Saccharomyces cerevisiae S288C: one gene and its partners. Changing the gene in region 2 together with the main gene of any one other region gives a genetic interaction. Each region holds a gene or a part of one and is shown on either strand. Other genes may lie near its edges.

Region 1 (4,264 bases), on a different chromosome or scaffold from region 2:
CTTTTCGGATATCTTAGCCTTGGCCTGAAAATCATAGTTGATCCAGTCCCGTAACTCCGGATCATCGGATTCAAAAATGTCGTAATCCTTTGTAAATAGTTTCCATAATGACCCAAGCGTAACGCCTTTTTGACTGATAAAGCTTTTAGTGTGTCTAAACAAATTTGGGACTGTCCAATACAATTCGGGGATGATGATCGTAAATCCATATTTCTTATTAGTTCGGAGCATCTCCAAAAAGGGATCGTAGGTAATATCACAGAAAAACTCAACATCGGGTTCCAATCTCCAATACCATTCGTACTTCTGTACTAGCGGGTGCTTGTAAAATAATCCTGAATAAAACCGGCACATCTTATGATATGATTCTAAGTTTCCGTAAAGTATGCTTCTATCACCTTGATCCTCAATTGCGTTGTAGAACTCGAACGTATCCTTTACGTCACTGGGAAAATTCCAAGATATCTCATCGATAGTGCCAAATTCCACCAGCGCGCCCACTGTAACATCACGTACTTTTGCTTTGAAGTCCTCTTCAAACGGCTGGTCATTTAAGAACACATATGGATAGTGGAACCACTGATTGAAATGCTCTTCTATACTGTTGATAGTCTTGATAACATCTTCTAGCTCCCCGTTCCTTGTTAGCATGACAAACGAGGCATTCTGCTTGATGTACGATGGATTCAACAAATAGTCCTGAGTATTCACACAATTCGAATAAAAGGGTCTGTCCCTCTTCGTCGCAAGATCCATCTTGGAAAACGGAAGAAAATTTCCCATAGTTCCGTCTACGGATGCAGGCTCAGATACAAGTACCACATACATGGTTATGACGAAGGCAATCAGGATGCACGTCGCCGTAAGATTGCAATGGATACATCCCAGAAATGCATTTATCGTCCTTCTTATTAGCAACATCTGCTACCTTATGACGATGTGCCGTATTGAGACACATTTATTGATGACACCTCCATTGAACAAGACTATTTGTGCACGGAAGCACTCATATCTACTACTTCGCATTTTTTTGAAGACCCTTTCTCGAATGCCTGCCCAAATTTTTCAATTTTCTTGGCATCATCCACACACCGCATGCTTAAAGTGTACTATCCAAAAAATGAGAGAAAAAGCAAATACCTAAAAGCACCCCACCTCTTCCATATCCCACGTAATGGCAATTGGCATATATGCTCGGCAAGGGAAATTACTGGTCGTAATATAGTGCAACATGCAACTTGCCAGGCGCACTATAGTCACATCTTATTATGTTAGCAGTTGAGCTCCAGCTTTGACTGCACTTTAGCTTAGTTGCAACTTCGCCCCTCTGTTGGGGGCTGAAAAGTACATCCGCGCATTTAACAATTGCTAAGCTATCTTGAATAACATTATACTAATTAATATCTATAGAAGCAGAATGTCTACTACGTCGAGGACCCTACCCCTGTATTTGTGCCTTGCATGAGCGAGCTATATATCAGCGATACGTTTTTTTGTTTTCCTTTCGACCTTCTTGCCTACCCTCTCACTTTTCCCACCTGAATTTTTTTTATCATATTAGTCCGATATTGAGTTTATAAACCTTGTGAAGTGCTAGATAAAGTACAATCAAAAGAGCAGGCAATAGCCATCACAGCAGTTTAGTACGATTATACACTCTGAACGCGAGTAAAACTAGGTTGTATTTTTAGTCTCGATTGGAAGTTTCGTCAGACAGTACAAGGAAGATGTCATTCAGCAACGGAAATATGGCTTCCTACATGACTAGTAGTAATGGAGAGGAGCAAAGTATAAACAACAAAAACGATATAGACGATAACAGCGCTTACAGACGTAATAATTTCAGGAATAGTAGCAATTCAGGATCACATACGTTCCAATTATCGGACTTGGACTTAGATGTGGATATGAGGATGGATTCCGCCAATTCATCGGAGAAAATATCAAAGAACCTTTCCTCTGGCATCCCGGACTCATTTGATTCTAACGTGAACAGCTTGCTGTCTCCGTCAAGCGGTTCTTATTCTGCAGATTTGAATTACCAAAGTCTATACAAACCAGATCTTCCACAGCAACAGTTACAACAGCAACAGTTACAACAGCAACAGCAACAGCAACAGCAACAACAACAGCAACAGCAGAAGCAAACACCAACTTTAAAAGTCGAACAATCTGATACATTTCAGTGGGACGATATCTTAACACCTGCTGATAATCAACATCGGCCATCCCTCACAAACCAGTTTTTATCTCCAAGATCTAATTACGATGGTACCACTAGGAGCTCGGGCATTGACTCCAATTATAGCGATACAGAATCAAACTATCATACGCCTTATTTGTATCCACAGGACTTAGTTTCTTCACCTGCGATGTCTCACTTAACCGCGAATAACGATGATTTTGACGATCTTTTGAGCGTCGCATCTATGAACTCAAATTATTTACTGCCCGTAAATTCACATGGTTATAAACATATTTCAAACCTTGATGAGTTGGATGACTTGCTATCTTTAACATATTCAGACAATAACCTTTTATCAGCATCAAACAACAGTGATTTCAACAACAGTAATAACGGAATTATTAATACCGCTGACACTCAAAACAGTACCATTGCCATTAATAAAAGTAAAGTCGGTACTAACCAAAAGATGTTATTGACTATTCCAACTTCTTCCACACCTTCTCCTTCCACTCATGCTGCCCCGGTAACACCCATCATTTCTATACAGGAATTCAATGAGGGACACTTCCCAGTTAAAAACGAAGATGACGGAACGTTACAACTAAAAGTTCGGGATAACGAAAGTTATAGCGCTACTAACAATAACAATCTACTTCGTCCAGATGATAATGATTACAACAACGAAGCTCTCAGTGATATTGACCGCTCCTTCGAAGATATCATTAACGGTCGAAAATTGAAACTTAAAAAATCAAGAAGAAGATCTTCTCAAACTTCCAATAATAGTTTCACTAGCAGGAGATCCTCGAGATCAAGAAGCATATCTCCCGATGAAAAAGCTAAATCTATAAGTGCAAATAGGGAAAAGTTATTGGAGATGGCAGATCTTTTACCATCCAGTGAAAATGACAATAATCGGGAGCGCTATGACAATGATAGCAAAACTAGCTATAACACCATTAACAGTAGCAATTTTAATGAGGATAATAATAATAACAATTTGTTAACAAGTAAACCAAAAATTGAATCGGGCATTGTCAATATTAAAAATGAACTAGATGACACTAGCAAAGATCTTGGCATACTTCTAGACATAGATAGCTTGGGCCAATTTGAGCAGAAAGTTGGTTTCAAAAATGATGATAATCACGAAAATAACGATAATGGCACATTTTCTGTTAAGAAAAATGACAATCTAGAAAAACTAGACAGTGTAACAAATAATAGGAAAAATCCTGCGAATTTTGCTTGTGATGTATGTGGTAAGAAGTTTACAAGACCTTATAACTTAAAGTCACACTTAAGAACGCATACAAATGAAAGGCCATTTATTTGTTCTATTTGTGGTAAGGCGTTTGCACGTCAACATGATAGAAAGAGACACGAAGATTTGCATACAGGTAAGAAAAGGTATGTATGCGGTGGTAAGCTGAAGGACGGTAAACCCTGGGGTTGTGGCAAAAAGTTTGCAAGAAGTGATGCTCTTGGTAGGCATTTTAAAACTGAAAGTGGTAGAAGATGCATCACTCCCTTGTACGAAGAAGCCAGACAGGAGAAATCGGGACAAGAGAGTTAATTATTTTTGTTTTTTTAAGCTTTGAATAGGAATTTTTTTTTTCTATATAATAAATATGTAATTTCATAATGACAGTGTAGAAATTATGGCTAATCTAATCCATGCAAAGGTATTATTTGGTTATTGTTTTTGTAATGAAATAGTATAAAACAGTGATATTCTTACGGATTAATAGTTTTTACGCCCGTCTGAATTTTCTAAGCTGCCGAAAATAATGGCAAGTAACAAAAAGTTATTGTATGAGGATGCGTTTTACGTGGCAAAAGTTTTGATGCCAAATAGACAAAAGTAGCTCAATTCAACATGACCTCATCATCTGGTGTTGATAATGAGATTTCCTTAGACAGCCCGATGCCAATTTTCAATGAGAGTTCTACTTTAAAGCCAATTAGGGTTGCGGGTGTAGTAACAACAGGGACAGATCATATCGACCCTAGCGTACTACAGGCATACTTAGATGATACTATTATGAAATCCATTACTTTGGGGCAGCTAGTGAA
Region 2 (5,839 bases):
ACGCTCCTCTGCCTTATCCAATTGCGCAGGTCGGTGATGATTCTATGGATAGTAGTGATTTGGGTTCAAAAGCCTTTTCATCACTTAACGACATACCTATCACGCCTTCACATGACAATAATCCTCACAGTTTTGCCGAACCTATGCCCGCTTACCGTGGGACTTTCAGAAGAAGGTCCTCCGTGTTTGAGAACATTTCGAGATCCATTCCTTGGGCACATGCAACTGATTTCCAAAGACCAACTGTCAATACCGTGGATGATAGGTCTCCCGAAACAGATAGTGAAAGTGAAGTGGAAAGTATTATGTGATTTGGGCTGGACATGATATTTGCTATTGTTAACCTGCTAAAGATGCTTATTTGAGGAAGTACAAAGAAAAGAAAATAAAAAGTAAAAGAAAAAAAATGTAACAAAATAATATTATGCATAATCTATATCTTCTTTGTAAAAATAAGAATTTATATTTTGAAATATGATAGATTTTTTTAAGATAATCCGTTGAAGCAACAAGAAAAATCCAAACCAATTGAATTATGGAGTGGCAAACTCTTGCACTTTTGCATAACTTGGAGGATGTAGCCTTCTATAAATTGCCTTTGCCGTCCAGACAGGAAAGATCGAGATGAGTAATATAACTAAAAGTCCAGCATAGTAATTTACGGTAGTCATATAACCTAAATCAAAATAATCGCCAAGAAATGGAACCGATACAATGTAAAATAGTAAAGTAGCAATTTCAGTGACGAGCATTGTTTTATTCCATGTGTAGATTTCTAAGGCAACCATTATTAATTCATTTACAACCAAAGCAGTGAAGCTGATAGCAACCATCCTTGTGAAATCAGTATCTAATAAACTCGTAAAGGCCTGAGAAAATAATTGAATTACAGAACCTTGGAATAGCGATAATAGAACCCAAACAAAGAACGTCTTATATGATAAGCTCTTACCTTCAGTCAATTCTTTGTACAATTCTGGGTATATTTTAGTCAATGACTCTTCGATATCGTGATCAAGAGTTAATGAAAAGACTGGAGCCATTGTATAGCAGGTAGCATAACCGACCATTAACCAACCTTGATAAAGAGCAATAGGTTCGAACAACGAACAGATGGAATATACCGCTTGGCAAATTGCAATGATTAAACCTCTATGCATGACAAATTGAGCCAATTTAGCAGATCTTTTGTAAGAGTTCCTACCATGCCATAATAGTAATTCGGTGAGGTGACAAAATTGCGTTATAGAAAAATCAGCAGCTAAAGAAGCTTGTTTACCTTCTTTACCCACAATCCCTACGCCAACATCTGCACATTGAATCATACTAACATCGTTACCTCCATCACCAATACAGCATACCCTTTTGCCCGTCATTTTACGAATTACCAAAGCAACGTCTGCCTTCTGTTGAGGTGTACAACGGCAAGCAATAACAGTGGGTAAATGAACCACGACATCAAAAAATTCCTGTTCGTAATGTTTCAAAAACATTCCCAGGGATTCACCATCTATTAAAAGACAAGCATTTCTATTGATTTTTAGATACTCCAGCTGATTGAATGCACCTTCCGGTCTTGTGACTTTTGTTATCGTATGAACATATTGGCCACGAGATATTAATTTTGCACTTATGGAAACACAACGAGCAGTTTCAACTTTATCACCTGTCAGCATCCAAATCTTGATACCTGCGTTTCTTAATAACTCGATAGAGGACTTCACATCCTTCTGTAACTTATCTTCTACACCAGTTAGACCCAATAATTCAAGATCATGCTCTAAATACTTGGTGATAACTTGACTCATCTGTTGATCACGATTTAGCATTGACAAAGAGGCATCGTTGTATTCTTTTTGAAATTGCTCGTAAATTTTCTTGTTTAATTTTTTACGACCGATAACCAAAGTACGTAGACCTTCACGAGCCATATTACCTGTTTCTTCCTCTAGCCAATCATTGCTTTCCACAATTTTTGACATGACAGTATCGGCCCCTTTTTGCATAAACCAATATTCATCCAATTGCTCATCACGAACAATGATACCCATACGCTTAGAATCAGAATTAAATGGGAATACTTGTAAAATTTCGTAATTTAAAGTCTTACCAGAATGTTCGTGTAATAAAGAAATTGAATGGCGATCTCTTTTGAAAAGAGATAAGCCAACCGACTCGGTAAATTTAACAATAGCAATTTCATCAGGTGATGCCGCTTGATATGTAAGTTCGTCATCCTCAAAAGTGGGAGTAACGTTATGGCAAATTGCTAGAGTTAAAATCATATCACGTACACGAAAAGACATATCCTTTCTTGTTGTTGATAAGGCAACTTTAGAATTGTTCAAAGAGTCATTTTTAGAGCTCACCAGAGATTGTACATAGTCGGATACAATGTCTAATGTTTCCGACGTGTATGATACAGTACCCAAGTGTATTTTCTTCAATTGCATATCATTCTGAGTAAGCGTCCCTGTTTTGTCGCTTAGAAGGTATTCAATACGGCCTAAATCCTCTGGAATTGTACTCGTTCTAACAATTGTTTCAGGAATGGTTTTATCGTGTTCGATCTGATGTGCATAAACACTTTTGGCTAAATCTAAATTAACTCTTAAAGAGACAGGGATGATGGTAGAAAACAATATCAGATACCTCAAAATGTCAATGTACCAGTCGTCATTGTGGAAACCGGCAAATGCAACTAAAAGAATTGACAGGGCAAAAACACATGCACAAAGAATCTTGGAAATACTGTTAATTTCTAGCTCTAATAAGCCAGTTTTAACCTTAGCTGTAGTTGTATTCATAGCTTGCCTAGTATCTCTGCCAGTGTAGACGACACAAGCAATACAAAATCCACTGGAAGCTAGAACAGTATTCGCCCATAGAGTATTATCTACAGACAAAGGGTTTGAAGTGGAATCCTTATAGGTAACTTTACCTAAAAATTTATGAATAGATTTCTCAGGAGCAGAGGCTGTTATACTAATTCTGTTAATTAAGTCATTTTCAGATAGATTTTGGGTCAAGGGACAGGCAACACGTAGTTTCCAGTCAGTCTCCCCATCTAGTTGGTCAGTTTTGATAAATGACTCGCCTGATGGTTCACTTGATTGTAAAAGAACCAAATCAGCGGGAATACGATCACCTTTATGGACTTTTATGAGATCTCCAACTTTTAAGTCTTTGCTTGGTATGGAACGATTTCTCGTTATTACATGATACAGTTCATTGTTTGACTCTCTATCACGTCTCCTTCTCTGAATATCATCTATAGCTTCCTTTGCCATGGTTACTGTCAGCACAAATGCTAAAGGTACAATATACGATGATAAATACCCTATTCTTAGTGCAGGAACGGCCTGCGATAATGCAACTACTAAAAAGTATAAATTGTAAAAGAATTTGAACTGTTCATATAATAGGGTTGGCACAAAAGTAACGGCATTATATTTGGCATTAGATAGTTCATTCGAAACGTATCTATTCCTATCGTACACAGGAGTCGTGTCTGGATGTATTTCTCTTTCGATGTGTTGATCACTGAGTTCTATGGGTGAACCAAACTTGGACCAGTTTTTTGTGTTAGATACTTTTAAATATGAGAGGGCTTTTGAAAAAATATTGTTTGAAGACGACGGTGGTGACGAAGCAATATTAGTAAATTTGAAATTATCATCCTGCGAGAGGCGATTATCATACATCAAAGGATGGGTATCTGTGTTTGAAGACTTACGATGCGAATCCGAAGAATGGTTAGAAAAATTGTCTAAATCATCTACTGTTCTCATTTCAAAACTTTCCCTATCTCCAACAGTGTTATGCTTACTAAGTGGTTCTGGGTTATTATTAATTTGTAAACTGTCTAAAGCAGCGTCAAATGAATCGTCGAGATGTAAGTCAAAAGAATCTACACTGTTTGCGTGTTGATTATTGTTGGAGTTGAATAAATTCTGCTTATGTGACTTAAATGAAGGAGGGTTAGGCATTTGTCTCTGAAGTTTTCCGTGCACACTGATACCCCTTTCTTTTTCAGATTAACGTTATGCCACACAAGTGCTCTGATTGTTACTTTTTCTCAATTGCTTAACGGTATATTGCTGTTAATAAGCTGATTGTTGAGTACTGTATAAGCTTCAAAAATCCAGATGAAATCTTTTATTGCGTAGATCAGGCTTCTAATAGCAGCAAATTCAGGTGAAACAATGCCTAAAATATTAAATAAAAAATAGGTATTGAGTAATTTTGGTCCTCGTTTTAAGTAACGAATGTGTCCGAAATTCCCAAGATGTCTAACCTTTTGTTTGGCAGTGATAGGTCTTAGCCACTGTGCCAGTATTTACTCTTTCCAACTGCCTCAAAAAGGTATGGCCTTACCTTCGTTTTTAATGACACGTATACGAGCCTTTGCTGTCTAATTAGTGGTAAAGTGATAATAGTGAAAGTAAAGTGGTTCTTTACCGCGTCTATATATATATGTATATGAATGCCCTAGTGTGCACATTACTAGATTATAAAAGGTATTATGGCGTAGGGGGCTACGTGATTGTCTTTAAATTTGTGCCTGTAATAATTTTTTGTTTCCAATGCGGATATAGTCAAACTTGTGATTACCCAAACTAGTGTTAGGTAAAATTCTTGTTCATAGGGCAACAGAGTAGAATAAATGATTATTTCATCGAGATAATGAGGACAGCATACCAACCTGAAAAGCCTTCCTGTTGGCAGCGAATATTTAACCAGATTGGCCAGAATAACATGATTTTTGTACTGATCCCAAGATGCTATGCAGAATATGATGAAAGCATTCATGTTTAACGTATTTGGAATGGAGTTCTTGTACAGTGATATATTAAGAATTAACAAGAGTACGGAATAGAACCATATACCGACTAGATAATGGGACCAATTCATCCTAGAATTGCTTGTATAATGTAGTACATAAAGCGTTTCATAAAGTCGGCGCAATGAGTGTCCAAATATGATCCAAACGATGGGGAATTTAGGATAGAAATATAAGGTGACTAAGGATAGAAAGGTAGCCAAATAGTAAAAATGGGAAAAATACGCCTTTGGAACTGTGAACTTCTTGATTCGTTCTAAAATGCTTGAGTACTTTGAATTCTCTTTGGGCCGGTAGGTTTTACCATATTGAAGAAATTCTGGTAGACAACTTTTTGCTATGAAAAGTGAGCAAATGCCTACAAAAAAGGATAATCTATAGGCATATATAGTATATTTTAGCAATTGTTCTTCATCAAAGTACATTGGACTGGTAGATTCTACGTTTTAAGCCAGATCGGTCCGCCGATAAACCTATTTATATTCCACATTTGGTATATTTTTACTTTTTCGAAACGTCCTTAATTCTCATTTTGGAAAAAAAAGAGAAAGCATAATACTGAATAGAACAAGGACCGAATTTCTCTTTACCGGTAGATTATGATTTATTTGGGCAAAAAGTTTTTTTTTTCATTCTATTGCAATAGCTATCATTTCAGGAGAAATGCTACTAATATGAAAAACCACTGATTTAAAAGGAATATTAAATTATTTAAATATAACCGATATGTACGCGTTACGTAAATCAGAAATTGATATGTATAATACGAGTAACGGTAAGGGAAGGGCATGAATAATATGCAGGACAGCATTCTACTGGTCGTTCCAGAATTTATATAACAAGTTTGCATATTTCTGCATTTCTTCGACTGAAACCAATAACTTGAAATCACATAGTATCAGGAATTGTAATTCTAAATGGTTTAACTCTTGCAAAGAAATACCTCCAACCTTGGCGTATCGAGAGTTACTGTAAAAAAAATCACTCAAGAACTTC
Region 3 (3,291 bases), on a different chromosome or scaffold from region 2:
TCCCCTGGAACTGAAAGCTATCGACAGGACAGATTCAGATGTTTGTATCAATGGTGATTTAGTTCTACTCGGTTATGACTTTATTCCATATCAGATATCGAAGCCGTGGTTACTCTTTAGAATCGAACCCGTAAATAGCATTGAAGCAATCTTCAACTATAGTGAATGTTCTTTTTCATACCAGTTTGCATGGAGTTTGGCCTGCTTACAATCTGAAGAGAAAATTTCATTTCCTAGAGACACGATAATTGGGCACGGTTTACCTTACAAGCCATCCAAATTGATAAGAATTTTCGTCTACAAGCATCCGGAACAAAAGCAAGATCTTGGTCAAGAAATAGCATTGCCCAACTGGAATACCCCTTATCTTCGAAGATGAAAAAAAAATTTATCAATTAGTCTATAATATATGTGTATATACGTCTATGCACCTACCTACTTATAAATGGATATAATATTCTTGCAATGATGAAAATATGTATAGTCAAATTTCATTTTTTTCAATTGATAAATGTACTTTCAATGATGGAAACTCCTTCATCGTCATCGAATTTAGACTTCTGGCAGAATTGGTAAATGAATGGCTTCATGTTTGCCAGATTTTCAGCAATAGACCTAATGAAAGCGGGCAGCTCACTCATTATATCGTACCTATTGACTAATCTTAAATTAGATTCTTCAAAACCACGCGGAAATGAAATGGATGTAGGATATTTCCAACCATTTTGCTTATCCTCTTTTGTAGATGGAAATTTAACAGCATGATCATTTACACTTGACCCGACCTCCAAAATTTTGTCCTTATCACTAACCGCCCATATAGTCACTGTAGTGCTGCCATATTCTTTTGTTGTGGTGAATTCAATACACATCATCGAACGCTTCTCACCATTGAAACAAAGAAAATTCCATTTACTAGCCGCCTTATTGGGTATTAGCCCCTGGACAGCATCCAGATACAACATAGGCGTGTCCTTCAAGTCCAGCTTCACAGGTTTATCGTTTTTCTTGTATGAGATGGTACCATTGCAAAAACCTCTAGGAACAAAAACATGTCTTATCATTTTTCTGGACGTACTAGAAGAGTCTCTTTTTGCTAACTCTTCCAAGCTGATGCTCTTGTCAAGGTAATAATTGGAACCGTCCGGGTTTATTATGAATCCTTCTTGTAAATTTACGGTAATGTCAACCTTCAAATCTTTTAGTAAACAGCTTGTACTTCCCTTCGGAATATCTATCTTAATTAATAATTGAGCAAATCCACTGGAGGAAGAATTTTCCAAAGGTACGAAGTGAAACGTAACATTGTCCGATTCAACTTTTAACGTATCAAAATCTTTGATATTATCAATTTTAAAGCTTTCCCATATATCAATGTCTTCTTCAGAGTTTTCCTCACTGCTGGCTTTAAATATTTTGAAATTTAACTGAAAACCTTTGTATATACCGCCCATAACACTGGAATATAATAGTTGAATTAATCCACATTTGCCGTTGGTGAGATCCGTAAAATACAGAGTTTGTGTCTCTATTCTTGTTTCCGTTGGATTTCTTACTGCTTTTAATAAACTATGTGACTTGAACTTTTTGTGATTTGACGTCCTGCAAAACCATTCTAGTTTCGATGTATCCTGAAATTTAGTATAATTAGCATGATCCTTCTCGGATAAAACTTCCTTAACGGGGGCAAATTTCGTCTTCTCCTTTTTGATCGCAACCGCCATTTTTTCTTTGCTCTATGATTTTTATGTTAATTAAACTGTTCGTTGCCCTAAAATTTTGAAAATTTCTCGAATATTTAGAGAGAATCCGTCACTATTTTAGTATCTATCTTGTCTATTTATATATAAAATCTCATTCCCCTGTTATGGTTTTTGCCAAGCCCTATCCCAAAAAACCAAATGATACATGATAAACCTATTTATCCTCTTTAACAGACCTATCGTTTAAAGCTTTTTTATTGCAAACCCTATTCATTATGGCTTTTTGACCTAGGTCTCATTGTGACTTCTATTTTTCACTGTTCAGTAAAAAAAGAAAAGTGATTAAAAAGTATCACTATTTCTGTTAGAAAGCAAGTAGCTATTTTGATTGGTAATTATATACACATATTGAAGGAGGCCGTAGTATTTTCGTTTAAAATATATTACAGTAAGATAATGTCTGCTACATCTTCAAGTGGTGACGTGAAAAAATTTCAAGCTGTACCAAAACCAACGAGCAATGCATCACCACCACCAGCATCGAGTGGGTTTAACGCAAGGACCCTATGGCCGGATTTGATAGAAACACCAGAAAACCAGTGGGTTTTTGAGTGCAAAGATATTATTGAAAAGATAGGCACTAATGGACCGATAGCAGTGGAAATAAAAAAAAATATGGAAAAATGCTTAATGTACTTTTACACACTTAAAAAAAAATTAAATCTTTTTGATCACACCTATACGGCATCATGCATTCTATTTTACAGGTATTGGTTCATATATGGAATACCTACAGCCATAACTGAATGTATTCATATATCACAGGGAATTCTGGTCACCGCTTGCAAAACAATGGAGAATAATAGGCCTATAGAGGCCTATATTAAGGCGACTTGTGAGTTTTTGATGCAAAATATACCGTCTTTAAAAAGTCGAACAAATATTGATAAACTTAAATGGGAATTTAGAGATAAGTTAGTGACGAATGAAAAAAAAATACTATGTTTATTTGGCTTTGACTTAAATATCAGTAATCCAAAAGAATTGATTGAAGAAGTGTTCAGTGGCTATTATAGATTCAACAGGGATCACAATCTGCCAGAAAACTTTAAAAAAGCTTTTCCAAAAATTCTTCAAGAATCAAGAAATTTTATGGTCCAAGCTGTCACCCAGCCAGTTTCTTTATTGTGCGACGGTTATACGTTCATTGTACTATCTCTCATATACTGTGGTTTAGAGTATAAAAAGCTTGTAGACAAAGATTTCAGATATCCGAAAAACTTCTTCAAGGATAGATTCCCTATCGAAGTAACGCCGGAAAATTTTGCCAATATCTTTACCGATTACAAGTTACTGGAAGAGAATTTTTTCAACTTAAAAAGTAATAAAGGTGCTAAATTACAAATTGATTCAAGCATGATTGATTCGGTGATTGACGAAAGTGGCGATGTGGAAAATGAAGTTTCAGAAATCTCTGATCCGTTTAACTACGAGTTGATTAAATCCGGTGAGGTGAAGGAAGAGTTTTTGAATCATATTGAAACAAGGGTTAAAGATTTACTAGATAAGGCTAAACAAGAAAGTATGA

What was found.
Region 1: mutations in NEO1 (region 2) and CRZ1 together harm fitness more than expected from each alone (negative genetic interaction), as found in Saccharomyces cerevisiae (2 studies listed by BioGRID).
Region 3: mutations in NEO1 (region 2) and YLR225C together harm fitness more than expected from each alone (negative genetic interaction), as found in Saccharomyces cerevisiae (2 studies listed by BioGRID).

The regions. Positions count from the first base shown.
Region 1 is NC_001146.8:577,853-582,116, forward strand, and holds CRZ1 (DNA-binding transcription factor CRZ1), read left to right. Parts: upstream 1-1,727; coding exon 1,728-3,764; downstream 3,765-4,264. Other genes in the region: KTR5 (putative mannosyltransferase), read right to left, coding at 1-921; SAM complex subunit SAM50, read left to right, coding at 4,068-4,264. UniProt on the Saccharomyces cerevisiae protein: Involved in the regulation of calcium ion homeostasis. Binds to the calcineurin-dependent response element. Transcriptionally regulates PMC1, PMR1, PMR2A and FKS2.
Region 2 is NC_001141.2:259,587-265,425, reverse strand, and holds NEO1 (aminophospholipid-translocating P4-type ATPase NEO1), read right to left. Parts: upstream 3,990-5,839; coding exon 534-3,989; downstream 1-533. Other genes in the region: SYG1 (Syg1p), read left to right, coding at 1-311; DFG10 (putative polyprenol reductase), read right to left, coding at 4,507-5,268; PCL7 (Pcl7p), read right to left, coding at 5,656-5,839. UniProt on the Saccharomyces cerevisiae protein: Flippase that catalyzes the hydrolysis of ATP coupled to the transport of lysophosphatidylserine, phosphatidylethanolamine, and phosphatidylserine from the lumenal to the cytosolic leaflet of the Golgi apparatus membrane and ensures the maintenance of asymmetric distribution of phospholipids.
Region 3 is NC_001144.5:587,195-590,485, forward strand, and holds YLR225C (uncharacterized protein), read right to left. Parts: upstream 1,725-3,291; coding exon 501-1,724; downstream 1-500. Other genes in the region: UCC1 (Ucc1p), read left to right, coding at 1-379; BUR2 (Bur2p), read left to right, coding at 2,160-3,291.